2 linked regions of the Macaca mulatta genome follow. The protein of the gene in region 2 purifies or fractionates together with the protein of the main gene of each other region. This does not show direct contact. Links are inferred from orthologs where the notes say so. Each region holds a gene or a part of one and is shown on either strand. Other genes may lie near its edges.

Region 1 (15,904 bases), on a different chromosome or scaffold from region 2:
TGCTCTGGTATCAGACAGCTCAGGTTCAAACCCCAGCCCCACCTCTTCTTAGCTGTGTAAACAGGGAATAGTAGTTCAACCTCTCTGGGCCTGTTTCCTCCTCTAAGAAGGATAATAATAGTATCTATTTCCTATGGTGCTGAGGATTACAAGAAATTACACGCAAAAAAAAAAAAAAAAAAAAAAAAGCACTAGAAAAGTGCCTGCTACATGATAAGCATCCCATGAGCTTTAGACTATATTTACTTGAAGGTTAATTGAACACCTGAAGGTATCTCGCACTCAGAGTGTCCAAAACTGAGTACCTTTGCCTTCTACTGCTATATCAAGGTATAACTGATAAACAAAAAATTGTATATATTTAATGTGATGAATTAAATGTGCAATAAATATGTAATAACTCATCACATAATTAATGTGCTGGGTTTGAATGTATGCAAATACATTGCATCATACAATCACAAGAACCAAGGAAAGAGACATGTCCAACACCTCCCATACTTTCCTTGTGTCCTTTTGTTTGTTTGTTTGTTTTGTGTGTGTGTATTAAGAAAACTTAATATGAGATCTACCCTCTTAATATGAGATCTACCCTCTTAATATGAGATCTACCCTCTTAAATTTTGAAGTGCACAATATAATATCATAGACTACAGGCATTACATTGTACAGCAGACCTCTAGCACTGATTTATCCCATATAACTGAAACTTTATACCCATTGAACAACAGCTCCTCATCTTCCCCACCCCTCAGCCCCTGGTAGCCACTACAGGCTGAGCATCCCAAATCTGAAAATCCAAAATCCAATATGTTCCAAAATCCAAAGCTCTTTGAGTACTGACATGACACTCAAAGGAAATGCTCATTAAAGCATTTCAGATTTCAGATTTCCAGATTTGGGATGTTCAGCCACTAATTCCAAAATCCAAAAAAATCCCCAAACTGAAATACTTCTGGTCCCAAGCATTTCAGATTATGGATACGCAATCAGTATTATATTCTTGCTCCTATGAACAAAAGCGAGTTCTTGATACAGCCCCAAAACGGCTCCTCCTTTTGTATCCTTGTCTTACTCATGGCAACTACATTCTTCTAATCATTCAGGCCCAAACGCTTGGAGTCATCTCTTCCCTTTCTCTCACTCCAAAGACTATGAGTTCTTTCTTCACCATATATCCAGAACATGCAGTGCTACCACCTTGATCCAAGATACTGCCATCTCTTGTCAGATCACTGAAACCTCCTAACTGGTTTCTTTGCTTCTGCCCTTAACACCACAAGTCAATTCTCAATGCAGCAGCCAAACTGGTCCCATTTAAATGTAAGCCAGATCACATCGAAGCTCTCTGCTCAGAAACCTGCACAATTGCTTCCCACTTCACACACAGTAAAACCCCAATAGTTTACAAATAGCTCAGAAGAATCTAAATGATCTGCCCTCTTCTTCCGCACTTCTCTGACCTCATCTCCTGCTACTCTCTTCATTTACCCTTCTCTAGCCAAACAGCCTCTTAGTTCTTCCTCAACACACTCATGCCTCCAGGCCTTTGCAATTACTATTCCCTTCACCCAGAACGTTTTCCCCCTAGACGTCTGCATAATTGGCTTTCTTATTTCTTTCTTGTCTGTACCCGAAAGTCATCTGCTCAGTGATCTCTTCCCTGGATGGAAACCTTGTTTTAAACTTCATCTTTTCCTTGATATCTCACAGCCTCCTTCCTTGCTTTTTCTACTTAACACTTATCACTATCTAATATGCCTTTTTTTTTTAATGAGACAGGGTCTTACTCTGTCCCCCAGACTGGAGTGCAGTGGCATGATCTCAGCTCACCACAGTCTCTACCTCCCAGGCCCAAATGATCCTCCCACCTCAGCCTCCATGAGTAGCTGGGACTACAGGTGCATGCCAGCACAACTGGCTAATTTTTGTATTTTTTGTAGAGATGAGGTTTTGCCATGTTGCCCAGGCTGGTCTCGAACTCTTAGGCTCAAATGATCAGACCGCCTTGGCCTCCCAGAGTACTGGGATTACAGGTGTGAGCCACTGCGCTTGGTGCTATGTCTTTTATTTATGTATTTTATAATCTATATTCTCTATTAGATATAAACCCTATGAGAGTAGGTGTTTTTGTGTGTTTGGTTCACTGCTCTCTTTCCAGGGCTTAGAATAGTGGCTGACACATAGCAGATGCTCAATAAAGATTTGTTGACTAAAATGAATTGACAGAGGGCTCAGGGCTTTCTTAAAAGATTAGGTGTCCCTGCCAACTGGAAGTCAATACAAACGCAAGACCAACCAGCCCTTAAAGTATAAGTCAACTGAAACATGTAATTATATTTACATTTTCAAATAATATTTCAGCCATCTATTATTCTACAAAGTAAAATGTACCCATATTTCCAGCTTTGATTAAAAATATAAAATACCCTTGTTTGACCTTTTGATTGAGCCACACTTCTGTCCAGCAGTAGGTCAATGAAGCATGACTGGAACACTAAACGGTGCTTCTATTCTTGGTTCAGCCTATGAGTCAGTTTCTTTTTTATTTCTCCTTCCTTTCAGTGGCCAAATAGATATATCGACAATTAATTATTGCCATGATAAATGTCAAGTTCCATGAAACTGAAAGGGTAAGTCACCACTCAGAAGATATAACATGCATCTTGAAGGAGGAAATTTGAAAAAAAAAAAAAAAAAAAAAAAAGCTTCCTTGACTAACAGTAATTCTAGAAGACAGACAAGGTAACTGAAAGCAAATGCTACTGGCAAATAAGAGGATTTACTTTCTCAAATTTTCACTTTCAGAGCTGAGAGTTTAAAAGGAAGGTAAATTTTATGCCCAAAGAATAAAATCTCAATTCCCCAAGGAAAGCTCCATTCAATCACCATGAATCACCAGTAACGGAGCTAACAGAAATCTGAAGCTGGCATTTACAGAATGGTATGTTAGTAGTGAAGCCATAAACCATCCAAAGAACTGGATTAAAAATAAAATAATGAGTCTAGTCAGTCAGTTTGGATTCTGGAGAGAAAACACTAACATTTAAGTGAGAAAACAGTGTGACAGAGAAGAAAGAGAGTTAAGAGCTTTGGATTTTGGGTAGTAAGCTCCAGTCTGGGCTTTGCCATCTAGAAGCTGTGTGACCTTTGATAAGTTACTTAACCACTCTGAACCTCAGTTTCCTAAACTATAAAACACAGGTCATAATTCCTAGAGTTGTTATAGAGATTAAACTATAAAACACAGGTCATAATTCCTAGAGTTGTTATAGAGATGAGATGAGTTAGATTGTGAAGACCTTTGACATGGTAAGCGATCAATAAATGATAGTTCCTTGCCTAGATTGTCCAGATATAAATCTAAACTGAAAGAATAGTGTAGGGAATTGTCACCACTGGACTGCTGCAGGACGAATGTCCCTGAAATATTCTGCCAACATAGGTAAGTACCTTAACTTGATCCTGAGAGTGGCCTGCAAAACAAAAGGAAACACTAAATCCAAAGATGAAGAAAAAGCCAGAAGGGAAAAATCCAACAAACGATATCATGTGTGGGCCCTGTTTTGCGGTGTGCATCACAGTAGGGAAGAAATTGTGAGTGACTGCTTTTGGAACCATCCCCTGGGTCGGGCATTTCCCAGTCTTATCCAGGCTCAGCACAATAGACTGCAATGCCATTGCTCACTGTTTTGTGACAACACACTTCTTGGTTTCCCAGGACAGAGAGGGTGGAGATGTCTTTGGTACCTGTTTGGTTTGTTTTTGCTTTTAATCACTCAAATCCACCCTCCATCCATTCATTCAATTTTCCATACATTTCATCTCTCATCATGCATTTATGAAGCATCTACTATATGAATGTGGGACATATACTGAGCATTTGAGAAGATACAGGTATAGCTATTTTACATTTAGGAGAGATTTGTAGAACTATAGGTGTCACCTATCTAATCCAACATTCCATTTGTGTGTGTGTGTGTGTGTGTGTGTGCGTGCGCACGCCTAGCACCTACTGAAGTAATACCTTATATGCATATTAATATTTACTAAGAGTTTACCATATTCCAGGTACCATGCCACATGCTCTCATGTGTTATCTTATTTGTTACAACCTCTCTGTAAACACTGTTACGACCTTTAATGAACAGATCCAAAAAAGAGGGCTGGGAGAATTTAAGGTCACATAGCTTGTAAATGGAAAAGCAGGGATCTGAATTAAGTCTCTTAATTAAGGAGTAAGAATCAGGGTTGTCCTGTTCACTGCATTACTTACACAGAGATTTAAGTGTATGATGATCTACATATCTGTTCTCTGACACAATGAAAAGAAGGCTGAGGTTGGAACAAATTGAACAATATTTCTATTTCAGGTTGTAAAAGCCATGGATGGAAATTAAAAATCAAGGACTTAATCAAGGTTCTAACTTGAGACAACCGTTCATATGCATTTACTAAGATCTGAAATATGACCTCACTGTGCCCTCCGGAAAAATGTTTTTGTAGTTAACCAGAATATCCCCTTCATTCCACAGTCACGGACACTTCAGCAACCTTTATGCAGCCAAATAAGTGCTCCCACTTGTCCTATGACTGTCAGAAAATAGAAGTGGAGTAGAAATTAGAATTCTCACATAAAAGATGAGAATTAAAGTCCTAAAACCATTAATGCAGTGGATCCATTGTGAGATCAAAGAATCTCCATGGTGTATCAGAAGAGTACTCAGTAATGAGTTCAAAAATAAGCTGTGTGACCTTAAACACCTCAGTTAACCTCTCTGAGCCAGTTTCCTCATTTCTACAATGAAGAAGATAATATCTACCTCACAGTATTTTTGTAAGATTGAACAAATATACACTATTATTACTGAATATATAAATTATATATTAAATGATATATATTATATAATGAATACATAAAATATATAATAAATATTATATAATTTACATATTCAGTTTCTTCCATGTTTATAAAATGACAGAGCTTTATATGTTGGCTTCTGGCATAAATCAGCAATGCACTTTGAAACCTTATATAGTCAGTTAGTTCCACGTTTATAAAATAATAAAGCTTTATACGTTGGCTTCTGGCATAAATCAGCAATGCACTTTAGAAAGGCATCATTGGTATCTTATCTAAAAATTTTTCCATTAAGTGGAAAGGAGTCGACAAACTAAAAGGTTTGAGGCTTCCTGCACTAAACCAGAATCCAGTTCTCAGGTTTCTGGAGTCTTGACTAGAACCCCTCCATATCATCTCCTCTAGGCAGAGCATAGATCAAAACCATTTGGGATAGTTTCAAAGGCCAAAGCTAAGATTGATGGAGTGGCTTCAGAGCAGGGTTCCAGTGCTGCACAGGGACCACGTTCGTAACAGCAGTTGCTGGACAGCCACGGGGCAAGCTTCTGAAACAGGAAGCGCCCCACGGAGAAAACTCAAGCAGAAATCTCACCTGCTGCTGCCTGATTGATCCTCCCAACATCAAAGTATTTGATTCAACACTTATCACGTGCTTTCTATAAGCTGGGCACTAGGAAAAGAATGAGTAAGATGCAGTCATCATTCCTCAAGGGCTCAAGTTGGGGAGACAGATACATAAGCAGATAATTATAAAACAATATGGTAGGTATGAAAATAGAAAAATTATAAGAGCACTGAAGGGGAGGACCTAACTCGGGAGGTGGATACAATTTAGGTGGGGAATTCTTTCTGGAGGAGGTGACACCTCAGCAGAGTCTTAAAGGATGGAGTAAGAGCAGGAAGTGAAGGATAAGATGGGGTCCGTGTAGAAAGAGAATTTGGGCAAAGGGAATCAGCATGAGCTAAGAAACAGACATCACAAACAGTCTGGTTTATGAGAGGAACTCCAGGCAGCTGGATAATGCTAGAACATAAAATATGAGGGTGGGGCATGGTGAGAAACCAGACTGGAGCAGGAGACAGGAGCTAGGCTATGGAGGGCCTCTAAACTGCATTCTGCAGTGTGAACTTTGTCCAGTAGGGGTTGGGCAGGCAACACTTTACAGATTTTAAGCACCAGAGTGACTAAGTTTCTGTGATCTTTGACTTAGGAGATTGTTTTCAGAGAGAAACTGCAGTGTGGCCTCAAAAGCTACTGAACTGGGCTTTGGGAACTCAGTGTCACTGCTGCCCTGCCTGACTCATCACTGGAGGCAAGCACTGAGTTCCTTTGGTCTCCTGCCTCTTCCTCCTGTGTGCAGGGCCTCTTGGCAACACTGACCTCACAAAAAGGTGATGTGGGCACAAGGAGACTCAGCATTAGAAAGTGCTTGGAAGCAGCCAATGGTACACATTGAGCCCTGAGCATCTTTCTGCAGTGGGGATCTTGGCAAGGAGGCAAGGCGTCAGGGAGTAGGCAGCAGGGGGGCAGGTTTGCTGCAGTGCACTGCAGGCCCAGCTGTACGTCGCACCTCCTCCTCCCTCCATCTCTCCCAATACTCTCTGGATCCTGGCTGATTTGACTTGGGGTTGAGTGGGTGGGTGTGGGAGGCCATCCACTTTGCAGGGAAAAGCATCCTGCAGTGCTCAGCCACAGTGACCATTCTGACCTCTCAGCACAGTAAGAGCTCAGGCCCCTTGTACTTTTCAGAACTACAGTACATCTTACCTCTCAAGCTGCCATTTGTAACTATTTCCGCCCTCCCTTCCCATCTTCTTTAATCTCCACAGTCCCCTTCCTCATTATCCCACCCACGGAATCCATGTTACCTGGTTCCCTTTACTTCTTTCTGGCAAACTATGCTCCTTTATGACTCACTCCTTCCCTAGTTGCATAAATGGCTCTGCCTCCCTAAGCCTTCCTTGACGGCTCCTCCCCACCTGATCCCTCCCTTCCGTGATTCCCTTTTATTCTGAGCAACTGAGTACATTAATCTATTTGTATTAGTTTACCTGTTCCAACTTCTCCATGCACAAATCCCTGAATCTGCCATGCCTTTCTCACTCCTGATGTCTGTTCCCTCTGCTTGAAATGTCCTCTTCTTTGCCTCCCTTCTAAACTCTGCCTTATCTTTCCACACAAAGCACAAATGTCATCCTGACCCTAAGGCTTGCTTCCATCACCTCAAAGACAGATTAAATCTAATAGAACTTTGTTCACCTTTATTAAATTATGGTTTTTTTGCCCGTGTCATAGCAACAGCTAGTACTCATGTGTCACACACCTGAGAACTTTGTATATAGTAACTCATTAAATCTCACAACACCCTATGCTATTATCTCCAATTTAACCTGCCCAAGTTCATAGCTAGTCAGCGGAGCAACTAGGATTTGAACCCACATAGCATGGCTCTAATCAAATGCTACACCACCTCTCCACCCAGAAAACTCCACCTGCAGATCAGGTAACCTTTGTTCTAGAACGGCACTCAGATCTCTTGGCATCCCAAATGTCTGGCACACAGCAGGAGATCACTAAATGTGTTCTGAATTTAACTGAAATTCGTTTAGCATGCATTCCCATGATTTCCTCAAACGTATGTTCTGTCTCCCCAAGCTATCCATGAGATCAAGGGAAAGGACCAGGTCATTTGTTCTCTTCACAGGCACACAATCACAGTGCAAGACAAGAGGTGGGCAACACCCTGTGAGCTCTAGGGGTACAGCTGGAGGAAAACTAATTTTGGATTTAAATGGATCTTGTGTGTGCAATTGACAACGTCTTTTTCACATACCTGATCTCAACAGGTGTTATCAACAATTGAGGTAAGTGGAAGGATGTGAGGAAGATAAGAAAACTAGGTGCAGATTGTTTGAGACCTGGCCAAGACCTCAGAGCTAGAAATATCTCAATGAGATTACAATCCACAGGCTCTGAAAAAAGCACCTGAAAGCCAGCCTCCTGTCCACTGGTGTGGTCCTGGGCAGCTGTGGTCCTCAGGAAAGGGAGAGCCGTTGGGTCAGCTCCTCCCCCAGCAGCCTGGACAGGGGTGGGAGGCTGGTGAGAGGGAAAGGGGAGCCTGGCAGGGTATTCTAGAGAGGAGATCAACTGAGCAGAGGTAAGTCAGGATGTGTTAAGAGCAAGAAAGCAGGTTCGGAAGACTCTGAGGGCTTCTCAAGTGTTTGTTCACCTTTACCAGATGGGACAGAACACCATGAGAGGTGACATGATTTCCTAGTGGTATGATAATATAGATATGAAGAGTCAGGAAAAACTGGCTTATCTTTCCATCAGTTGGAGGTAGTCATTGTTTCCCTATCATTTGTAACTATCCCATTGCGTTTCTAAAAATCTGTATCTTTATTTTATTCTAATTCAACACAACCGCAGATCGAATTTACTCAATGCCGTGTGTAGAGGAAGGATTTTCAGGCTAGGATAAGCTCTGCAGTAGAGAAGCTTTACTTAGTAGAAAAGACAGTGAATTTCTAGACAAAAGACCTGCCCCATCTTATTAACTGGGTGGTCTTCCGCAAGTCTCTTCGACGCCCTGGGTTAATCTCCTCTTCTGTAAAATGGGGATGAAAATGCCCACCTACCCACCTCCAAATGAGTGCTATGACAGTAACTTGCACGAAGGCCTGTGAGCGCCCAGCGTAGGCTTTCTGCGAATCTGAACGGTCTCCAGGGTCTCTGTCTCACGCTCTTCACTATTCAGGAATGAAACACTGCGGATGTCTGCTCAGAAATGTAGGGAGAACCTCCTCCCACAGGGGACCTCCCGCCCCTGCAACTCATGAAGTGAAGTGAAGGCTCGCAGATCGCCAGGCTCTTATTGTAGCCTCGACAGAGGGCGAGGCAGGCTAAACTCCGGGGACGCAACGGGGTGGATCTGGAACCCGAGTTTCTTGGCCCAAGGCATCGAAGGCGTAGGGATTGCTGTTCCCGGCCCGGCCCCTCGCGGTAGCCGCAAAGCGCCCCTGGGGGCAAGTCCAGCGGCACGGTCCCCGGCTCGGGAACCACCTCGCTTACCTGCGGCTCCACCAACCATCGCTGCTCGGCGCCGCCGGGCGCAGGGCGCGGGGCGCGGAACGCGGAGTACACGGGGATGCGGTCCCGAGTGCTGTAGAGGGTGGCGAAGCGCTCAGCGCCCTCCGCGCGCTGACAGATCTTCACGTGGGAATCGGTCGCCAGCCCCGCAGGCGGGGTCCCGGCGTAGAAGAACTTGTCACATTCGCCAAAGCCGGCTTCCTCCTCGCCCACGAGCCGGCCTTCCAGCAGCCTAGCCAGGGCGAGGAGGCTGCCCAGCGCGAACCAGCGCGCAGTGCCCATGGCGGCCTCTGCGAGCGCGGCGGGGCCGAGCGGCTAGGCTGCCGCGGCGCGAGCTCTGCGGGCTGGGCGGTGAGCGCGCGACGCAGCCTAGCAGGGTAGGGAAGGGAAGTCGGAACCCAGGCGCCGCGCTCTGCGGAGCCGGGCGGGGCAACCCGGGCGGCGGGGGCGGATCCGCGTCCGGAGGCCGCGCCCCTCTCCCTGAAGATGGCTGCAGAGGCCCAGGGCCGGGCACCGCGTTGCTGACAATGTCCCCTGGGCTGCGCCCGGGACTGGAGAAGCGGGTCACCTGCCGCCGCGCCGCCTGGTCTCAGCAGTCCGCGGGGACGCGCGCTACCAAGAGTGGAGAATCCGAGTGGGGCAGGCCTAGTCCAGGGACTGGGAAGAGATAGTCGCATGGACTGGGCGCCAAGAAGCTTGCTGATCGCGCGCGCCCCACGGCAGCCCTGGGGATGCAGACGGGTGGCGTGAGATGCTCACGGAGCTGCAGCTGGTTCGGAGTGGATGGGCAGAGTTCCCCTCTGAAATCTTATGAAGATCCTTCTCCCACTCTCCACCGAAGTGCTCAACGGCCAGCACACGCATACAATTTTCTTGCAGTATTTTGTTTTGTTTTTGAGCTCACCAGAAACTCAGAGAGTAAAGAAATACTGTTAAAGGAAGTTCCTGAACTGGGCAGACAGTACAACCCTGTGTGGTTTTCTCGGTGCAAGGGTTAGAAACAAAACCGATACCAAGCAAGGAAGGAGGCCAGCCAACGTCACTGGTCAACAGGTTGGCCAATTCTTTCCTTCATTTATCCCTCTGAATGCCTAGGTGCCAGCCTGAGATAGGCACTGGATTACCACAGGGGTAAACAAGAACAGGGCCCCTGCGGTCACAAAGACAGCCTAGTGGGAAAGCTTGTCACTCACCGAGGAAACATGCTATTAAAGGGATAACTAAAAACTGAACGCAGATCTGTGAGACCCTGACAGCTGCAGGGGTTCAGGATGTAATCCGGGAAGGTTTGCCTGAAGAAATGGCATCCGAGCTGAGACCTGAAGGATGACATTAGGCAAGGAGGAAAACCATGTGCTAAGTGGTCTCCCACAGAAAGAAACATGATGTGTTGGAGGAATTTAAGGAAAGCTAGTGTGGGTAAAGAGCAGAGAACTGCGTGGGGATGATGGGAAGTGGAGCTAAAGGAGGAGGCAAGGGTCGTATTACTCAGGGTATTACAGGCCAGAGGCCTTCAAACACTTTTTGAGAAGGCCCATAATGAGAAAAGTTTCATGAAATAATTCTTATGCTTATGATTGGCATTACAATTTCATATTTCTGTTCTACTTCACTGTTTTAAAAAAGTGCTGGTCTTGACCCACTAAATTGTTTCTATGAGCCAGTAATGGTTCATGACCTGCAGTTTGCAGAAAAATATTATAAATCATGTTGAGGATTTTCATCTTTTAAAGGTGGTGACTCTATCCTTTTCGCTCTCAGGGTGAGACTGGTAGATTGAAGTGGCCCAGAATAAATGGGTGGCTCACACCTGTAACCCCAGCACTTTGGGAGGCTGAGGCAGGCGAATCACCTGAGATCGGGAGTTCGAGACCAGCCTGCCCAACATGGTGAAACCTTTCTCTACTAAAAACACAAAAAATTAGCTGGGTGTAGTGGCAGGCCCCTGTAATCCCAGCTGCTCGGGTAGCAGAGTCAGGAGAATAGCTTGAACCCGGGAGGCGGAGGTTGCAGTGAGCTGAGATCACACCGCGGCACTCCAGCCTGGACAACAGAGCCAGACTCTGTCTCAAAAAAAAAAAAGAAAAAAGAAAAAGAAAAACACCCCACAATTGCCACAATCCAGATGAGAGATGGTAGCTTGGACTAGGATGGTAGGATGGTGGCAGCAGAGATAGGGTCAGGGCAGCTCCCCAGGGCCAAGGCCTGTACTCATCTTACGATGTCATCTGTTTCTCCAGTGTGCCACTACAGGGACTGAGGACACAGCCTGTTGATGCTTGCCTAAGCTGGCACAGCCAGTGAGTCCTGAGGCAGATTTGAAACAGGTCTCTGATTCCCAAGCCTGGCCTTTTCTTTTAACTCACAGCACATCTGTAAAATGAGGCCATAAAGAAGGAAGCTATTCAAGAGATTATACGTTGGAACTTAAGAACAAATTTCTTACAGGTTTTAATGCCGAAAATGTTGACTATGTTTGGTCCCAGAAATGAAACCAAAGTTTGTATCTTAGTTTTTAGAAAAAGGAGGGGACACATTTAGTGTAATGTCACAGAAGAGGCTAGACTTGAAGTCCCCTTTGATCTGGATGATGACTCTGATCATCTGGTACTAGTATCTCAGTCATCTCATCCTTGTAGGCTTCAATCAAGTCCTCCCACAGGGATGATGCTGGGAGGATTATAGGTTTTATAGGATTTTAAAAATATTTACATTATTTTATAAGGTTGAGTATAGGGTTCCCCAGTGTTGACTTATGATGTCAATCATAAAGATATATAAACACAGTTGAACAACTAGAAATCAATCCCTCTCTTCTCTGAGTTCTTTGAATATGTATCTGTTATGATACTTATCATGGTAGAGTGTTAATGATCCCTGTATCTGTCTTCTTTATTAAATCATGTACTCCTAGGGACAAAGGTGGTTGGTGGATCCCAGTGGCTACCACAAAATCCGGAGTGATTAGATGCCAAGTATGATTATGTTGTATTTTACCAATGCGGAAAGTATAATACATTGTTGGCCTTTATGACTAAAGTATGTATAGACTTTAATTCACTTTCTCAAAATTTCTTGATCCCTGCCCTCCACCTTTGATAAGCATAAATATCTCCGCCACTCAGTCCCCGTGGCAGAGTCTAGTTTTTCCCCCAGCCCTCTGTCAGTGACTGACACACGTTATAACACTGAACATTTGTACATCCCACAGCCAGGATGATTTCGTTTACTTTATGTTCTTTAGTTTATAGTACAAGACAATAGATTTTTCTTCCGTGTGCTTGTCTTCCACAGATAAAATATTACTTTTGCAAATTACAAATGTTCTCACCCCAAGATTCTGGAACAAACTACAAGGTAGGGAGGGGTGACTTGATCTAATTAACACATTTGCTAACTGCTGATTCTAGGGGAAAACTGTCTTAAGCAACATCTGTATGTGTAAAACTTGTAGGTCCATCAATAATTCACTGCTGTCTCTACATTTGGTCACTGACTCTCTTCTCAAAGGAAAAGAGGTTTCAAACCAGATCCTCTTAGGTCTCTGCACTCAGACCCAGCCAAAGCTAACAACGTTCCACAGCCTTCAGCAAAGGCTTGAGGATGAAACGTAATGGCTGATGTGGAATAAAACATTTGACATGCGCTTCTGTGGTTTGGTTGGTTCTGTCCAAAGTTATTTAAAAATATGAGCCCAACTAGACACTTCTTTCCCCTGCCTCACTGCTCTGATGATAATTGCATCCCTACCGTCACACCTTTGACCAAGCCATCCTCATTTGTCATGCCCGGTTTTTATTCCATCATCCCTTCTAATCCACTCTCCAGCTAGGATGACTTCCTAACATAAATCTGATGATGTCACCCTACACTTACAGCACTTTAATCACTCTCCATTTGCCTTGGGATGCAGCCAGACATACTAGCTGACTTCCATGACCCCAGAGACCTGGCCTTTCCCTCCCAGGCCTCATCTTTCTCCACTCCCACCTTGCCCACATGCTCAGCTTCTTGTGTTTCCATGAATGCACAATGTTCTCTCTTTTGTTTTGTTTTTGAGACAGGGTCTCTCTCTGTCACTTAGGCTGGAGTGCAATGGTGCAATCACAGCTCATTGCAGCCTCAACCTCATGGGTTCAATCGATCCCCTCACTTCACCCTCCTTAGTAGCTGCAGCTACAAGTGTAGCCACCACATCGGCTGATTTTTATATTGTTTGTAAAGACAGGGTTTTGCTATATTGCCCAGGCTGGTCTGGAACTCCTGAGCTCAAGCGATCCACCTGCCTTGGCCTTCCAAAGTGCTGGGATTAGAGATTTGAGCCACTGAACTCAGCCTGATGCTCTCTCTAGTCTTTGAAAATTTGCATCATAAACTACTTCCCTTGTCCTGAAATTCTCACCACCTATTCTCATCCCTTTACTCATTTCATCTAGCTTAGCTTTTTTTTTTTTATCCCAACAATCTAGCTAACCATCACTTCCTCAATCACTCACCTTCCTGACAAGCATGTCCTCAATTTCACTCCCTCCACCCCTCTATGAGGTTAAGAGCCCCTTCTAATTATGCCTATTAAGCCAGTAACCCCATTTAATAACTGCTACCTTTCCCCTTAGTCATGAGCATAGTGCCTACTATAGAGTAAGCATCTAATACAGTGAGTGAGTAGATGAGTGAAAGAATAAAACCTTCTTTATGAAACTTCATTTGGGTTTTCATTGCTCTAATTCATTCATTCATCCTCAGAATGTTTTTTGAACATCTACCATGAGCCAGCAATGGCGATGCTGGGTGTTTAGGGGAAGCAAAGTTTAGCCTAGTTCCTGCTCTCCTGGCATTCATGCCAGCACCTCTCAGTGCCATGTGGGCAACCAGAAGAGAAAACACAAGCTAACCAATTATTGGCAAGTGGCTTTGCCTTAGACTAGGACAGAGCAAAGCAGAGGAATCTTCATGCAGCTGGTGAGTTCTGTAACATTGAGTTCATGCTAGACCCATCTTCATTCCACTGCAAGACTGACACAGACCTTGGCATCACAGAACTTGAAGTATGGTAGGGAGGACAGACAGACAAGCAATTACAATACAGCGTGAGAAATGCTCTGATAAGGGAAGTACTGTGTGTTATGTTGCAGAGAAGTATAATTTAGGAAGAGCAGCTCTGGAAAGACAATGGGAATGGTGGAAAATCATACTTAATTATGAGATATGTGGAAACATGGTTCACAAACTAGAATAACAATTAATTTTTAGGCCCCTAAAGCTACTTGTTTGGCTCTCCTCTCTTGTCTCTCTAGCACGTATAAGGAATTGGCAAATGAGGAAGCTAATCCAGTTTAGGTTACCAGGAAAGGTGAGGAAGCTGAGGAGTAGTTCCTATTGGGGTTAAAATGCCTGATTTATTTTTCTAATAATGACCAAATCAAAGACAGCCTGCCTGGCTGAACCCATGTGTGGGCAACAGACAGTGTTTTACTGAGTCAAGAGACTTGCTGATGCATAAGCAGCAGAAGGTTGAGTCATGTTTACCTGAAATGTGGGCAGAGCTGTCTTCTTTCTAGTAAAGCTAAATGTGGATGTTTAAAAATAATAGCAGTTGTTTAATGGGTATAGAAATTGAAATTTGCAAGATGAAAAAGTTCTTGAGATCTTTCTCACAACAATGTGAATATACTTAACACTTAAAAAATGGTTAGGATGATTAGTTTTATGTTTTGGGTCTTTTACCACATTATATAGAAAAAACTAATATCAGACTTCACATCAATATGGATGTGGATAGAGGAGAAACTTATTCCTTCATTCAGTAAATAGTGAGTGGACCCCACAGGCCAGGCTCAGTGCAGACTGCTGAGGCCACAGAGGATATACAACATGGTCTCAGCCATCCTGGAACCCACAATCTCTGCTTACCACCAGGTCATCTCTATTTTCAACACAGAACTTTACACATTTATTTCAGAAATACATCTGCCTAAGTAACCATTTCATTTTAATTATGAGTTAAATCAGCTGCTGTTTATTTTAATTGGTAGGAAAAAAATTAGGGAAAACATTTAGTCCCATCTCTAAGTCTGTATGTGTCTGTCTTAGTCAACATGTAACAGCATCAGGGAATTATAAAAGACTACCAAAGAAAAAGACAGACAAATGTATCGGGGAAACCCCATCCCCAATATTCAACGTGGGTTCTTTTCTATTTCCCTAAGCGTCAGATGGTCTGAGAAATAAAGGGAAAGAGTACAAGAGAGAGAAATTTTAAAGCTGGGTGTCCAGGGGAGACATCACATGTCGGCAGGTTCGGTGATGCTCCCTGAGTTGTAAAACTAGCAAGTCAAGTTTTTATTAGCAATTTTCAAAAGGGGAGGGAGTGCACGAATAGGGTGTGGGTCATAGAGATCACATACTTCACAAGGTAATAAAATATCACAAAGCAAATGGAGGCAGGGCAAGATCACAGGACCACAGGATGGGGTGAAATTAAAATTTCTAATGAAGTTGGCACGTATTGTCATTGATAACATCTTCTCAGAAGACAGGGTTTGAGAGCAGACAACCTGTCTGACCAAAATTTATTAGGCAGGAATTTCTTCATCCTAATAAGCCTGGGAGCGCTACAGGAGACGGGAGCTTATTTCATCCCTTCAGCTTCGACCGTAAAAGACAGCCGCCCCCACGGGGTCCGTTCATAGGCCTACCCTCAGGGGCGCATTCTCTTTCTCAGGGATGTTCCTTGCTGAGAAAAAGAATTCAGCGATAGTTCTCCTATTTGCTTTTGAAAGAAGAGAAATATGGCTCTGTTCCATCCGGCTCACCGGCAGTCTGAGTTTAAGGTTATCTCTCTTGTTCCCTGAACATTACTGATATCCTGTTCTTTTTTCAAGGTGCCCAGATTTCATATTGTTCAAACACACATGCTCTACAAACAATTTGTGCAGTTAATGCAATCATCA
Region 2 (15,890 bases):
GCTGCCTGGAGGAAAGCGCGCTCCCATCCTGAGCTGAAATCTACCCCCACTGGCCTTACACCACCAAGGGGCCCAGCTCTGCCCTTTGGGCTCAGAGATCTGGTTGCACCCTCTGCTCCGGGACAGCCCTGCGGGGGCTCCTGAAGCTGCCCTTCTCCTGCTCCTCCCGCCACCTCCCCACCCATCGGTCACAGTCCATGTGATTCAGGTGGGGCTCCAGGTGACCCCAGCCCTGGTCAATGAGAACCTGCCCCGGGACTCCTGTCAGAAATGATAAGTTGTAAGTGGAGAGAAGATGGGACCAACACAGCTGATGGGAAGGCGGAACACAGAGAGATGCAGTGGGGTCTCGGGGGTGACATGCTGATCCCATGACAGTGTTTCACGCCTGCTCCAAGTCATGCTTCAAGCTTGTGCATCTCTGGAACTTCCCAGATGTGGGAGTGACTCGATCCCCTTTTCCTCTTGGAGCCACTCTTCACTGGGTTGTTGCCACTTCCAAATCACTGGCTATTAATTTGGGGATAATTTCACACTTTTCTGATAGGAAGATGTTATCCTTGAATTTCAAAGGCATCAAAATGAAAGGTATCTGCATGTTATCCTGACACCTACACCTCACTCCTCCTTTACCCCAACAGAGTTTTCAGCCCCTGGCGCCTCACCTGGACTCCTCAGTTTCTACCCACTGGTACATCTCCACGTGCCTCCGCAGTTTCACAGCCGGAAGATGAACCCCATAGTTTGGATCAGACAAAAGCTTCAAACAGAATCAAAGAAACCAAAAAAATAAAAGATAAGATTCATGTCAGCCCAGAAAGCCTGGCTGAGGGGAAGCTGGACTGGAAGAGGAAGAAATAGAGAAGGGGACAAGGGTGGAGAGCCCTAGGCTGCTTTGCAGGGGAGGATCAAGGACACTGCCTATCCCAAGTTCTTCACACATAGCGCCCGTGACCCTCACAGTACAGGCCTGGGCTGCATGGCCCAATGGCATGGTGCCAACAGCGTACAGGGTGTTCAAATAACACGAAAGCTCTGGTGCCCAGGGTTGTTTTGTGGCTTTGCACTGGTCACACACGGTCATCACAATCATGAGAGCACCTCCTTGAGTGCCACCCTCTGTATCAAGATGTTAGTTATCTCATCTCACCAAATCCTCAAGGCTGGCCACAAGCTTGTTACTATTACCATCCCCATTTTATACATGAAGACACTGAGACTCAGGATAGACAAGTCCACACAGCTGCTGAGCGGTGGAGTCGGGAATCACACTCACGTGTGACCATCTCCAAGGCCCATGCTTTCAAATCCTCAGCCAGACAACATCCAGGATGAGCCCCGAGCCACTGGCAGGTCAGCATCCCCTGCCAAGCCTACCTTGGATGTCCGCAGGGCGCCAATGATATGCACCAGCCTTCCTTCATTCTCTGGCGCCACACTGTGGATGCTGTCAGGGGACACGACAAGCGAGAGCCCCTCGGCCAACGAGGTTGCCGTCTTCAACGCACGGCCCTGGGAGCAAAGGGGAGTGGGAATTTCAACAACTCAGGGGTGGCTCAACATGACTGTGCTTGTTGCAAAGTATCAGGGTAGGATGGGGCCTCAGGGAGCACTGAGACCCATCTCCCCACTGTACAGTTGGAAAACTGAGGTCTAGCAAGTGGAGAGTAAGGACTGGAACCCAGATTCCTGCTTTCCCAGGCAGACTTCTTCCCACTGCCCCACTGGTTCCCACTAGCCCCCACCAGTCTTAGCACTGCCCCAGTGGTGAGAACAGCTGGCGTTTCTGCTTGCCTGTCTCTTTCTCCCCATTTTTCTCTGCCTTCTTTTTCTTAATTTTATTTTTATGTTTAAATTTTTTGTAGATATGGGGTCTTGCTATGTTGCCCAGGTTGCTTTTGAACTTCTGGCCTCAAGCAATCCTCCCTCCTTGGCCTCCCGAAGTGCTGGGGTTATAGGCCTGAGCCACCATGCCTGGCTCTCCTCTCCCCTACTCAGTCCATGTGGTTTACCTAGGTAGATCTGAACCCCTGTTCAAATCATGTGACCCAGACCTTGCCAATCAGAACATGTGAGTGACCCCTGGCCACGGAGACTGATTCAGAGGACTGACAGCCAAGCCAGGACACTGAGAGATTGCCCTGTAACTGTTGCTAAATTGATTTAGAAATATGCTGTTGCATCATGAGGTCTTATTTTAAAAAAAGGAAAAAAAGAAAGAGAGAGGAGAGAGAGACAGAGAGAGAGGAGAGAGAGAGAGAGAAAAAAAAAGAGAAAAAGAAAGAAAGAAGAGAGAGAGGAAGGAAGGAAAGAAGGGAGGAAGGGAGGGAAGGGAAAGAAGGGATGGAAGGGAAGGAAGGGAAGGAAGATAAACAAATGGTTTTTCTCTTCCCTGGGCTAAGTGGGGGAGGAAGGGAGGGAAGGGAAAGAAGGGATGGAAGGGAAGGAAGGGAAGGAAGATAAACAAATGGTTTTTCTCTTCCCTGGGCTAAGTGGTTGGATGTAAGCCAGTTGCTGGGGCCACATTTACCATCACAGAGGAAGTGCCTGCCCAAGAAATACACCATAATAGAGAAAAACAGGCTAAAGATGAAGAAATGGAGACTCCTGGTGACCCAGCATGAACACCTGGATCCAACTACGCCTGAGGCAGGTGCTAAGCCCTGGATTTTCGGGTGTGTGAACTGATCTACTCCTTTTCCTGCTCACATCAGCTGTGGGATGCATCACAATGCAAAGAACTGTGATTAACTCAGTATCCTTCTTTCTCTTTTGTAAAATCTAGGCCCTTTATTACCAGCCTCTGGGTTCATAGCCTTTGCTCTCTGACATGGTAGGGACTCTCACTCTGCACAGGAAGACGCCAGACATTTTACCTCATTGGTGAAAATTAGGTAGAAGGAGAGCAGGAAGGTCATGAGCCCCACGACCATCCCACCCGAGGTCTCGCTCAGCCGCTCCAGGAAGCCTGGCTGGGAGCCGGTTGTAACTTTGACATGTTCTCTCCGGGTACTGGTACTGGAATACTGAAGAAAAAGAAACATAGTCACAGAAGGAAAATTAGTTTTTTAAAAATAAATGAAATTTGCTATTTATTTATACTCAGTTTTTTTTGTTTTGTTTTTAGTTTTAACTGTATGTGGTAAAAACACACAGATACTCAATGTGCAGTTTGGCTAGGTACAAAATATTTCCATCTCCCCAAAAAGTTTCTTTGTGCCCCTTTCCTGCCAACTCTCCCCCTCTCCACCAACCAGAGGTAACTGGTAGGGATGGGGAGAATCTGAATTTGAATTTCTCCCACTGTAGATTAGTTTTGTTTCTTCTAGAACTTGAGAAAAATGGAATCAGGGCACCAACTCCTTTCTGCCCAGCTTCTTGGACTCAGAGCACTGCTTTTGCAATTCGTCCACGTTGTGGTGTTTATCAGGAGTTTGTTCCTTTTCAGGGCTGAGTAGTATTCCATTTATGACTATACCACAATGTGCTGAATCATTCGTCAGTGGATGGGTATCTTGGCAGCTTCCAGGTTTTGGCTATTATGAATAACGCTGCTGTGAACATTCATACATGAACCTTTATGCAGACGTGTGCTTTCATCTCCTGTAGGAATATACCTAGGAGTACAACTGCTGGCTCACAGAGAAGATGTGTGTTTATGAAACTGCCAGGCTATTTTACAAAGAGGTTATTAGAGAGGTATTTTTAATTAAATTCAGCAAACAGTGGCTGAGCTTTCTGAGGGCAGTGCTAGCCCTTGTGGGGTCAGAAGTAGACAGTCTTAGGGCAGTGAGGTCACAACCATAAACAATACTAGAAGGTCATACAGAGTGTCTTGTGAGAGGGGTGGACTCAGTGCTCAAGGAGTGACCCCTTCCAGCTGGGGTATCAAGGCAGGCTCCCTGGAGGAGGGGGCATTTGAGTGGAATCTTAGAGACAGACCTTAGGGGAAGAGCATCCCTAAAGGGAGAACCATGTCAGCAGTGATGAAGAAGTAGGAAGTGGTCCTGGGGGAGCAGCTGCCTATCTGCTTTGGCTGGGTTGTGGGAGGGATGGAGGAAGAAAGGGCTTGGAGCTAGGCATTTCTGGGCAGGTTCACAGTGGGCCTCAAACTCAAGGGTGAGTGGATCAGGCTTTGGTCAATAACACAGGCATGATTTGGGGTGCATCCACTGCTGATCAAAAGCGTCATCGTCTAGGGCAGGATTCTGGAGCCAGAAGAACTGGGTTTGAATCTATGCTGTGCCACACACCAGCTACAGGGTCTTGGGCAAAAGCAATTTCACCACTTTGTGCTTTCCATTTCCTCTGTGCATAGGGTTGTGGTGAGAAGCAAAGAACATAGTTATTGGGGGGCTCAGGGCCGAGGCCTTGGTAAGCACTCTACACATGTTAGCTAGTGGGAATGTTACCAGATTTCTCTACAACTGATAGTGGGCTGGCACCAGGCTGGGAGTGAGCTGACAAAAGTCACAAAGATATAAAGTGGGGCCCAGCTAAGACAGTGCCCCATCCTGGCACTAGGGGCCAGAGGAGTGATTTGAGTCAGAGTCTCTGCTTGGACAAAGCTGATGTCACGTTCTGATTGTCTTTGAATATCACCAGCCAAGGCCTCCAGTGACCAGATGTCCATGAATCCAGAAGTCATCTTGACTTTCTATACCATTTGGAAACATTAAGGGAGGGAATCACCACAGGCAGGCAGGTGACCATCATAATGATGACAATGGCAAACACGCCGGTCTATCACAGGCCAGCCCACACGCAAGCCCAAAGAGCTGGATGCCATAACCACCCCATTTCACTGATAAGAAAATCGGGCTTGGGTTAAGTCATCTTCCCAGATCACACAGTTTCTAAGAGGAAGAGTTAGGATTCACATCTGGGCAGACTGGAGACTACTCTCCTATTACTCATTCCAGTCTGTGCTCCCCAGCTCTTGGGCTACAATGTGAGTTGAATGTTGGGTGCCGGCTGCAGGCAGCAACAGGAAAAGGAGGCGTGGCTTCCTCTTGGGCGTCCCCTCAGCCAGCATCAAGATAAGGGGCTCAAAGACAGCCTTGGAGGGAAGGAAGAGAGGTACAGGAGGGTGCCCCTCAGGCTAGGGGAGGGATGAGGTAGGCAGTGACATGACATACCCAGCCCACATTCTGAACCAAAATTCCCAGTAAACATGGAGGATCATAAAGGATCTATATATACACACATATTTATATATACATATATATTACATGTATACACACAAATGTAAACACACACACACACAGACATCCCCAGTGACACATCCCCTCCCAGTCCCAGCACTCAGGACTCAGAAGAAATGAGCAATGAGTGGTGGGAACAGAGGCTGACACATAAGCCCTGGAAATGAACAGAACTGGGTTCGATGCCCAGGTTCACCAATCACTTGCTGTGAAGCCTGGGTAAATTGCTCTACCTCTCTGATTCTGTTTACTCACTTATAAAGTAGAGAGGGGAATAGTACCTTCACCATCGGTACTGCTGCTGCTATACTGATTGAGAATTCTGTTGCCTCCCTACTCCATCCCACTATCTTCTTCCTCACCCAGCCTAGTGGCTGCTGTAAATGTATACCCAGCTACTGGATGAATCAACAAATGCTTGGCAGCAGAGGATACTCAAATGCATGTATGTTCCTTGGTGAGGGGCCAGGTCTCAATGTACCCAAGACGATCTCTATTCACTGGGACCATCTGTGCTCCCCTCTGCAATGACAGGCTAGTTTTCAAGTATTAGGTACCTACGACACACCAGGCACTGTGCTAAGCAGTCTCCCTTAAATGTCACAGTAACTGATCCATGAGGCTACATAAACCTGGAGAGATGAAAGCCACACATCTACTGGGTGGAAGAATCTGGATTGCCCCCAGGTCTCCCTAACTCCAAAGCCTGCCCTTTGCAGCATGCCAAGCTGGCCACAAGAGTTTGGGCAGGTGCCTTCCCCTGCTGGGGAAGTTCACCATCTGTAAAATATGGTGGTGGTGGTGATGGGAGCAGACAGAGTCCACATACTACAAACAGGCTGGTCTCCTGTCTGCCCTCTCTCCTGGCCGAGCCTGAGTCTCTCGGAATACCTCTGAGGCCTTTCTAGGTACACCATTCAAGGCTTCTAACCCTCCTGTGGGCCCAAAGTGTCCTGGGAGTGTAGATGATACTAACCCGAGACAGAGTGTACTAGGACTGTGGGTGATGCACACCCTGGCCTCTCAAGGGGTGTGGGAGGCAGAGAGGACGCTTGGGGACAGAGGCGGCGTCTGGAAATAGGGTGTGACAGGCAAGGGGAGAGCTGCTAGGACACTCTACCAAAGCAGGAGGGAGGGTGTGTCTGGGGCTGGCTGGGCTCCTAAGCAGGCCCTAGAAGCACTTTCACAGAGGAGGGGAGAAGTGAGTCACCAGCTTCTCCCACATCCAGCGCCCTGGTAGGAGGCGCTGCTTGGTGTGCTGAATGAATGTTGGGCTTAAATAGTTTCCCGAGAAAGGCTAGTTGCAGGGAGAAGAGGCCTTGAAGGAACAGCCCTCAGCCAGGCCTTCTCCAACCAAATCCTTGCTAGGAGGAGGAGGGGCCCCGACAGTAGAGAAATGCTCCCTCTCCCCCTAACTCCTTCGCTCCCAGCCCAGCCTAAGCTTTTTGCAGCATCACAGCCTCGGTTTACACAGCCTCCCTAGAGCGGGGAGCTCTCTGCCCGCCTGGACAGCCCTATCCGTCCATTGCTGGACAGCTCCACTTGGGCTGGGTCGCCTTCCTCCCTCCCAAGGGAATGGCCCCCTCTCTGAGCTCCCGTCCAGCTCTCATAATGCGCAACCTTGGGACGGCTTCAGGGCCCCAAGATACAGGAGGGAACTAGGAATGCAAGGAGGAGCCGCGGAGAGGCGTACAAGCAGATCGTAGTGCGGGAGCAACACCTCCGAGTCCGCCTCCGCACGAACGCCGAGGACTAGGCGGACCAAAGAACACGGACAAAAGAAGTCTGGACGGTTCGAGAGATTAACAGAGGGATGAGCTGGCGAAGGCACCGACACGGCGCGCAGAGGGAGATGCGGGCCCAGCCGCAGGGAGGAGCTCCAGACGGCGAAACGGACCCAGAGGGCCCCGGGGAAGAGCCCCAGGGCGACGGAGAAGCCTGGGTGTGGCCCGGCTGGCCAGGGGACACTCACATTCGCGGCCATGGTGGGACCCGGCTCGCTGCCGCCGCCTCGCGCTGTTCAGCTAGGAAGTGGGCTGACGACTGGAGCGCGGAGTCCAGCGGCCTCTTGCCAGCCCCAGCTTCGAAAATCCGCGTGGACTCCAAGACCAGGCGGGACTTACTGCAGTTACCGCCCCGTGTGCCCAGTGTTTCTGCGCATGCGCACGGCGAGACCTGGAAACGGGTCAGGGACATTACAGTACCTCATTGATGCGCCTGCGCACTGCAAAGCTTTCTGGGAAATGTAGTTTCTACTGCCTGGCGAGCTGCTGTGGGGCTCGCGACCTGCTGGGAAATGTAGTTTCCGGCTGAGGTGGGCCTGGCCGCGGTTAAGAGGGCGCCGAGGCAGGCGCGCGGCGGGCAGGCCTGGAGGGGGCGGGTCCGCGCGGGCTTCGGAGGCGCCCGCCCTGCCTGAGGAGAGGAGGTCACGGCGTAAAGCTGCAGCTACCGCCACTGCCGCTTCTGCAAGGTCTCAGGGACGGGCTGCAGCCATGTCCTATTGCCGGCAGGAAGGTAGGGAGGGCGGGCTGCCATGGAGACCGGCCTACGAGGGCCTGCGGGAGACACGCGGGCCCCGGCGCCCCGCTACCACGCCGCAGGCGCGGGCCACCCGAGGCGCGGCCCGGTTGCCCACCCTGGGACACTCGGAGGCGGGCAGGCTGGGGGGTCGCCACTCGTGTTTTGCGAATGAGAAAACCGAAGCTCTCGGGGGAACGGGACTGGTCCAAGGTCACAGTGAAGCCCGAACCCTGACCTCAGAGGGGCCTGTGCGTGGGAAGTCGTAAACTAGGCCGGGTTGGGGCACGGGAAATGCCGAGCACGTTGCGTGTGGCTCGTAACTGGGAATGTATGTTAATTATTACTACCGCTCCTGCCATACCCCACGTGTTGCCATTTTGCACGCGCCTTTAAAAGGCGGGTCCCGAAAAGTTGCTACTGGGGGTAGCGTGTGCTGTGCTGGGGTGCTAGGAGTTGTGCTAGGAGTTCTACTAACGGGAATGTTTTTGAGCCCCCTGCTACCTATCAGGCACTGTTCAAGGAAACTTACGTGGCTTGTCTCATTGATCTCGCTGCGCCCTTTGTAAGTCAGACTCTGTTACTGGTCACATTTTACTGAAGAGTAAAGTCTGACACAGGAGACTTGGCTAAAGCCACTCAGCCAGCAAATCGTGGAACCGGGGTTTGAGCCTGGGCATTGTGACCCCAGAACAGCCTTTTCCAATCTAGTGCCCAGTGGATTGCAGGGAGAACCCTGCCTACCTCCCACCCCAAAGTTGAGCTCCAACCACCTAATGCTTCCTTGATGTTACTCTACCCAAGAGCTCAGAAGTACCCAAGCCACAGGTCGGAGGGCCTCCCCACACACTGCCACAAACTGACTCCTTGGCCCTAAGCTCCTACCTAACCCCTCCAGGCCCTGGTTTCCAGTGTTGTAAAATGAGATGTTGGGCTTCACTGATACAGCAAATATTCATGAAGCATCTTCTCTGCTCCAGAGAAGGGGGATGGATGGTTATAAAGCTACAGAGAGAGTTGGAAGTCACCCAGAAATTCTTTGGTGAATACTCCAGCTCCATCAGTTAATTCAAGCAATCTGAAGCCCAGAGAAGGAGGTGGCCTACCTTAGTTACACATCCAGTTAGGAGCATAGCTCAGCCTAAAATGCTGAGCCTTTTCCCTAGTAGCCCTGTCTGCTTCTAGAACCTCTCCTCCTCTGGGTTGTAAAGCCATAAGACTCACTCTTTAATGAGTACTATTATATTTCCGCTGATTACTACTTAATGTGTGCCGTAAGCAAAAGTCCTCTGCCCTCACCACTGTTGTTTTTAATTTCAAGTCTCTCTCTAATTTACTTCATTTAGCAAATAATTTTTGAGCCTTTGGGTATAATGAGGCTGTGCTGATAAACAAAACCCTCCTTCTCTTTGAGGATTTACAGGAGGCAGTTTTCTCTGGAAAGGGAGGCTAGGTCCATCTGCCTTCAAAACATGGAGCCCTTGGCTGGGCGCGGTGGCTCAAGCCTGTAATCCCAGCACTTTGGGAGGCCGAGACGGGCGGATCACGAGGTCAGGAGATCAAGACCATCCTGGCTAACACCGTGAAACCCCGTCTCTACTAAAAATACAAAAAACTAGCCGGGCGAGGTGGCGGGCGCCTGTAGTCCCAGCTACTCCGGAGGCTGAGGCAGGAGAATGGCATAAACCCGGGAGGCGGAGCTTGCAGTGAGCTGAGATCCGGCCACTGCACTCCAGCCCGGGCTACAGAGCAAGACTCCGTCTCAAAAAAAAAAAAAAAAACATGGAGCCCTTATCTTTTCCTGGTTCAAAGATCTCTCTTAGGAGATGAGTGAGAATTGAAAGCACTCACTTATAGGCCTTCCTTAGTATTTTTCTTATCCATACCACTGTCCCCCTAAGAAGTCCCTAACATTTTTTTTTTTTTTTTTTTTTTGCTCACTGATCCTTTATGCTTCCCATAGGATTTTTAAAAAAAATGATCCCAAACTCCTTACCGTATCAGAGCTTATGTGATCTGGCCCTGTCTGCCTTTCCAGCCTGGTCTCTTCCCACCTTTTTGTTGCCCAGCCTCTAACCTCTTCGCTATACCCTTGGTTTGGTAGATCCTGCCTTCACCTCTTCCATGGCTGACTCCTCATCCTTTAAAATTTAGCCTCCTGACCCTTTGTGTCTTTCACATCCTGAACTCTCTGAAATTACCTTTTTTATTTTTTGCCATCTTCCTGCCTGTCTTCTCCCACTAAGCTGAGAGCATCAGATGGGCTGTGGAATCCCCAGCATCTGGCACAGGGCCTGGTGTACAATGGGTGCCCAAATCTTTATTGAATCATGCGTGTACCTGCCCTCTGTCCTGAGTGAATCACTTGCCTGTGCAAGTTTATTTCAGGGGTCCACCTGCTACCCAGCCTTCAGGTTAAACTCCTTGGTTTGGCATTCGAGGGCTCTCATCCTGGCTCCCTGGCCTTGGGCTAGCCACACTTCTGTGTGTCAGCACCATAGTGTTTCTTTCTTAGTTTCCTCTTTCTAATGCAGAGCCTGCCCACTCGTGTTTAGTCAACATTTATAAAGCACATGTGACGTGCCAGCCATTGGGCATATAGTGGTGAGCAATGTGACACATTCTCTGCCTTCCTGGCATGGTGGAAGAGATTGCCATTAAAACATCACCAGACCAATGCATGATTACAGACTGTCATAAGTGACATGAAGGGAAAGCCCAGCATGCTATGATCATTTAGTGAACGGCTCTGTGGGGTCTGAGAAGGCTTCCTGAGGCTTCAGAGATCCTTTTAAATGCCAGTTTTCTTAAGAAAACCTTTTGCAGTCCTCAATGTGTGTGAGCGAACACTACTTAAAACCCTCCTTTTGCACTCCAGGCTTTGCCCAGGATGGTCCCTTCTGGAATGTCTATTCCCTCCTTCCCTCCCTGAAGTTCTTTGTCAGGGACAAAGGTAGGATCCCTCCCCTTCCGTCTTCTCCACTGGATGCCTGTGTCGTATTCATCTGTGACCACCAGGTACTACCACAGAGCTGGAGCTAAGGAAGGTTTGTTGAGCTAAACTTCTAACACTTGCATTCTTCTTACACTCTGTCTGAAAGCTATTTGTGTGTTCTTCACAGATACTTGATTCTGTACGCGGGAGTTATATCTTTCAAAGGGGTTAGATTCTAAACATGAAAGTCCTCAGCAGTCAGATTTATCAAACTCTTAGAAACCCCTTACTTTACTCACTCAAAATATACCACAGGCACCACTCCCTCTGGCTTTAGATCTCTTTCTTGGGTTGAGTGTCAGAAAGTAGTGGTTGGAATTGTATCACAGGTGTATTGAATCAGCTTAGCCAAAAATGAAAGAAGACAAGTCCGTAGTGCAGGTTGCCATTCTCAAACATGATCCTGGTGAGTCAGCATCCATGGGAGACAAGAAACTGCTTCCTCTGCAGGACACACGGGCATTCCTTCTGGAGTGGATATGCTGAGAGATTCTTGCCTGTAAAGATCTTCCCCTTTCATGGGGGAAATCAAACTACTCATCCAAGGGATTTTTTGGTCTTGCTCACTTAATGGTGATAACCATTCTGTCTTCCTGCTTTCTGCTGGGACTGGGTGACAGAGCAGGAGTAGCGTCATCTCGGACAAACACTGGCACTTTAAGTTCCAGCTCCCTTTCTAGCCTCATGCATTTCAAGGAAATCACTTCTAACTACAAGCAGCCAGGAAGAGCAGACAGTAAAACACAGATAAGACACCTCGGTCATAGAGGGAGGTGGGGGAAAGTCTCTTGGGTAACTGCCAAACTTCACCCTCATACAGTGGACCCCAGTAAAACTGTGGGCCTTAATAAGAACATTCCTTTCCCTTCAGGTGCACTAAGATAGGGAAGCTAAAAGCAGTCCTGGGGGGGATATGCCTGCAGCTGCAGAAAGATGTGTGGAAACAGACATACAACTCTGCCTCCCAGATGAGCACAATAAAGAGACACAGAAGCAGTCCAAGCCTCTGATAAACTCTCTCACCCTGAATCCTTAAAAACTCTTAGTCTGTAAGAGAATGTGGCTCTGACCTAACTCAGCCAGCAGCCCACCTCAGGTTTGTTTAAAATAAACCTGTCCCTGTTGACTGAAAAGCCACCGTTCGTGTTTCTCTCCTCTTTCTTTAATTCTTACACTAGGGTCTTCATGCCGTAATCCAGAGTTGTTTCTCCATTCACTTTTTTCAACAAAGATTGAACACCCACTTTGTCATTGGCACTATTCTGGGCTCTCAGGATACTGCAATGAACAGAATAGACAAAAATCGCTGCCTCTGAGGAGCTGACATTCCAGTGGGGGCATCAAGTGGTAAACATACATAGTATGTTGGGTGAAGAAAAGCACTTTGGAGAAAGATAAAAAAGCAGGATAAGGGAGATGGGCAGTGGTCAGGGACGGTGGCATGTGAGCAGGAAGTGAAAGCAGGGAGAAATCGCTGTGAGGGTACCTGAGGGAAGGGAAAGTGCTCGTGGAGGACAGAATACCCTGTGCAAAAGCCAGAGGTAGGCATGTGCTCAGCATGTTCAAGTAAAAGCAGAGGTCAGCATGGCTGGAGTGGAGGGAATGATGGTGGGAGATGGGGTCCAAGAGGTGAGAGATGCAGCTCTTTCTGGATATATTTGAAGATCGAGCCATTCTAATATGCTGATGGAGATGTGAGAGAAAGACGGGTTGGGGTGGCTCTACCAAAAGTAAAACTAAACAGCTGAGGGTGGAAGGTGTCTTGGTATCCGACTGCTCAGTCAGTTCTGTTCTCAGCCCCACCCTGAAGTCCTGTTCACAGAGTAACCCCTCGGGCCTCCAGTTCCCCACTCTGACCAAGGTTCTGGGGTGGGGACTGAGTTGATTCTGGGGGACCTCCTCCTTGTGCACTTTGGGTTCAGCTTTCTTCACTGGTTAAGTCAGAGAGCACTCGACCATCAACTCTCCCATTTCCAAGATATTATTGACATCTCTGAGCCTGTGATTGTCTCTTTTCCTGGCCACGTACCCTTTAAAACTTACTGTTGAGTGGGATTCTAGCTAACAGCAGAAACACATTTCACCTCCCCAACCATGTGAGGTAGGTCAGTGAAGCTGGTGGTAAGGCCTGGTTTCTGAGGCCCAGAGGGTACCTGAGCTCACACAGTGGGAAGTGCTTAAGTCCAGCTTTGAACTCCAGTTCTCAGACTCTCTGTGATATTGAAGCCACTGTGAGCCAGAAGGTTTAACATAGTTATCCACCTCCTTCAGAACATGCATATTCAACTGCTTTTAAAGCTTATCTTAGAAATAAAAACACAAGCACTTTTAATTTTATTTTTCTGGAGAAATTGCTGAGAAATGTCATAAGAACTACTTGTCTAGCTGATTGTCCCACTGGTTGGCATCTTATGACTAGTCTGACCAGTTCTTTCTTTCACACTTAGATTTGTTAGGAATAGGTAAGCCTTGTCCTTGCATCGGTTCTTGAATTGAGTTTTAAATGTTCCAGAAAGCAGAGGCCCTCCAGGACAGGCATGCAATGGACAGTTTGCAGGAGACACACTCTGGATCTTTCAGACCAGAGTTCCTGTTCTGCCTTCATTTACTGCATGTCTTTTGGTCCGTTTCTCAGCTCCTGTGGTTTCTGTAAAATGGAGATAAAGTAATACCCACCAGTGAACTCACAGATATAATAAAACACATTGCATGGGACAAAAATGTATAAAAGATGCAGCTATTACTGTTCTACCTTCAATCCAGTGTGAACTGTGCTGCAAGGGAAAATGTCCAGGAAGGCACATGTGAGGACTTGGCCCAGTGGTAGGGACCTGGAATTCTCAGTGGGATTGTGCTAGGCTGGTGTTTCCTAACCTGGCTGTGTATCAGTCACCTGTGAAGCCCGTGAGCTACATGGATGTGGCAGAGAGCTCGATTCAGCTTTTCTTGGGTGAGGCCTGGTCTCTCTATGTATGGCAAACCCCAGGAAGGCCTCATACTTTACCACATTTGGACCTTTTGCTTTGTGTGCCTATGGCTGGGCCTCACCATTGGGCTGTGCTGAGCTGCCATCTTGGTCAACAAAACTGCCAGAGCTGAGTTGCGAAATTTGCATCAGCTCATTGTACTTAGCGTTCACCATTTTTACAGATTGCTTTTGAGTATTTTGGAAACTGGCCAGAATTACCAAGATTACTAGGTACTTTAACAAGTCCTGGCTGCCTGGTCCAAAAGCTTTCCCAAGTCAGCCACAGGGGAAAAGCAGTCTTCTGTTGGATGACATGCAAGGTGTTGTGGCAGAGACCATCTCTGGGAGCAGAAACCTCCAGTGTGTTGGGGGTCCTGGCCCTGTGTGTGCTGAGGTTTTTTTGTTGTTACTCTGTCCTAGCGTAAGAGACCCTGTGCAGTGTGGGCATGGCGTAAGGCACCAAAGTGCCCTCCCTCTGTCCCCTGAACTGTCCTTCTCACTGGAGATGTCGCTCAGTTTTTGTTGTCACTGCCCCCTGCCTTCCAGAAGCCTCTTCCTTAATTACATCAGTCCAAGCATGGGCCCAAGCCTTTTTCCTTGCTTTCCCCTCAGCATACCTGTGACCAAACTTTTCTAAATATAAAGAGAAAACAAAAAGTATAAAGTAATCAGAGATGCCTGCAGCTTTCACAGAGCCACGTTTCTGCAGGTCAGGCCTCTGTGCCCACAGTAGCCGCTCACTCAGAGCCACGCACTTTTGGCCATAGCTGAAGAAGTCTTCTTAAATGCATAGCACCTCCTATCCCCTTCCAGATGAGGGTCCCTGTACCCCAGATCTCCTGGGATCAGAACGCATGGTCAGTTGCTCTGTAGAATTTGTCATTCATCTTCACCAGGAAGGTACAAGAAAGATCTTGTTTGTTTACTTGGCAAACATTTCACTTGATTCTAAGCTTTTTGAGGCAGGGGTTGGGTCAGATTTTATTGTGTTTATTCATTGCCCAAGGTGCACAAGCTCTCAGGCAGTGCCTAGTCATGCTAAGTGCTTAGTGTCAGCTATCATTATTCTTGTGCAGATGTTGGTGCGGGGCAGTATGGGTGTGTAGAAAGGATCTCCAACAGTGTAGACTTCAAAGAATCCTGTCCTGTGTGGCCCAGCAAGTCACTACTCAGAGCCTCAGGCTCACCACCATTAAAAGGGGGTGCTGCCACCTCCCTCTCAGGGTGGCGATAGGATGGAGGAATGAACTCACACGGAGGACCAAGAGATGGACTGGCTCTGTCTGTTCTCTGGGTACTGCTGGAGAAACTGATGATCCACCATGCAGCGTGGGGTACTGAGGACAAGGTGCTTCTTGCCCACAATGAGAATATCTGACGCATACCTGTGGTGTGGTTAGCTGATGGCCGAAGTTTTTAGGAAGGTGAGGTAAAGTGTTGACAGCTACAAGGTGTAGTGGAGAGGGCTGTAAGGACCTACCTTCTGCTTACATAGCCACTCAGCCTTGGTTTTCTCCTGTACTCGATGGGGGCTGAGCGTGATAATACTTCATAGGGGGTCACTGTAAGGCAGTTAATGCACCCACCCTGGTTTGGCCAGGACTGATATGCTTTTCTGTGCTCACCCAGCCTCCAGTGAGGAGAAGCTCCTAATATAAAATGCATTTGACTCTCACTGGTCTGTTTTCCTGTAGTCCTCAGACCTTCCGGCAGCCAGGCCCCAGGGTGAGGGCTTTGGTTTTGAACAAGGTGCTCTGCACTTTAGGCCTGCTGACTTTCCCATGCTGGTCCTCACAGGACCACAGTCCTGACCCTAACCACTGTGGGGTTTGTCCTAAAAAAATCAACTGCAGATGGTCACAGTTAAAAAGATCTGAGAAGTGCTTTTCCTCCTGTCCCCCTCCAGTTGTTATCCTTGTTGGGAAATGGTCCCCAGGCCTCTCGGACTGTGGGGAATGGAAGGGCTGCAGTGTTCCTCACCTTCATGACCCTTTCTTCTTCCGGCCACGATTAGGAGCCCTGAGGCCTAGTGGGGGTGCTGACTGTGGGCACTCTCAGACTGCCCGTGTCCTCAGCCTTTCAGAGGCAGGGGCCTGTGGGTACATCAGCTGTGAGGGCTGTAGTGATCTGTAGGCTGAGGACCCACATCACTGCACACTCACTTTGCCAGTGTGCTCAGTCTTCCTCCAACTTTTTATGCATTCTG

Evidence for each region.
Region 1: the proteins of TMEM43 (region 2) and ENDOD1 purify together in Homo sapiens (affinity purification with mass spectrometry; 3 studies listed by BioGRID and IntAct, with this or other methods). This does not show direct contact. The link is inferred for Macaca mulatta from reciprocal best matches to the Homo sapiens genes TMEM43 and ENDOD1.

Annotation. Positions count from the first base shown.
Region 1 is NC_133419.1:95,901,963-95,917,866, reverse strand, and holds the start of ENDOD1 (endonuclease domain-containing 1 protein precursor), read right to left. Parts: upstream 9,347-15,904; 5' UTR 9,234-9,346; coding exon 8,934-9,233; intron 1-8,933. UniProt on the Homo sapiens protein: May act as a DNase and a RNase. Plays a role in the modulation of innate immune signaling through the cGAS-STING pathway by interacting with RNF26.
Region 2 is NC_133407.1:152,919,314-152,935,203, reverse strand, and holds the start of TMEM43 (transmembrane protein 43), read right to left. Parts: upstream 7,360-15,890; 5' UTR 7,189-7,359; coding exon 7,177-7,188; intron 3,027-7,176; coding exon 2,877-3,026; intron 1,513-2,876; coding exon 1,378-1,512; intron 796-1,377; exon of another isoform or gene 761-795; coding exon 666-760; exon of another isoform or gene 642-665; intron 1-641. Other genes in the region: CHCHD4 (mitochondrial intermembrane space import and assembly protein 40), read left to right, coding at 10,708-10,768. UniProt on the Homo sapiens protein: May have an important role in maintaining nuclear envelope structure by organizing protein complexes at the inner nuclear membrane. Required for retaining emerin at the inner nuclear membrane.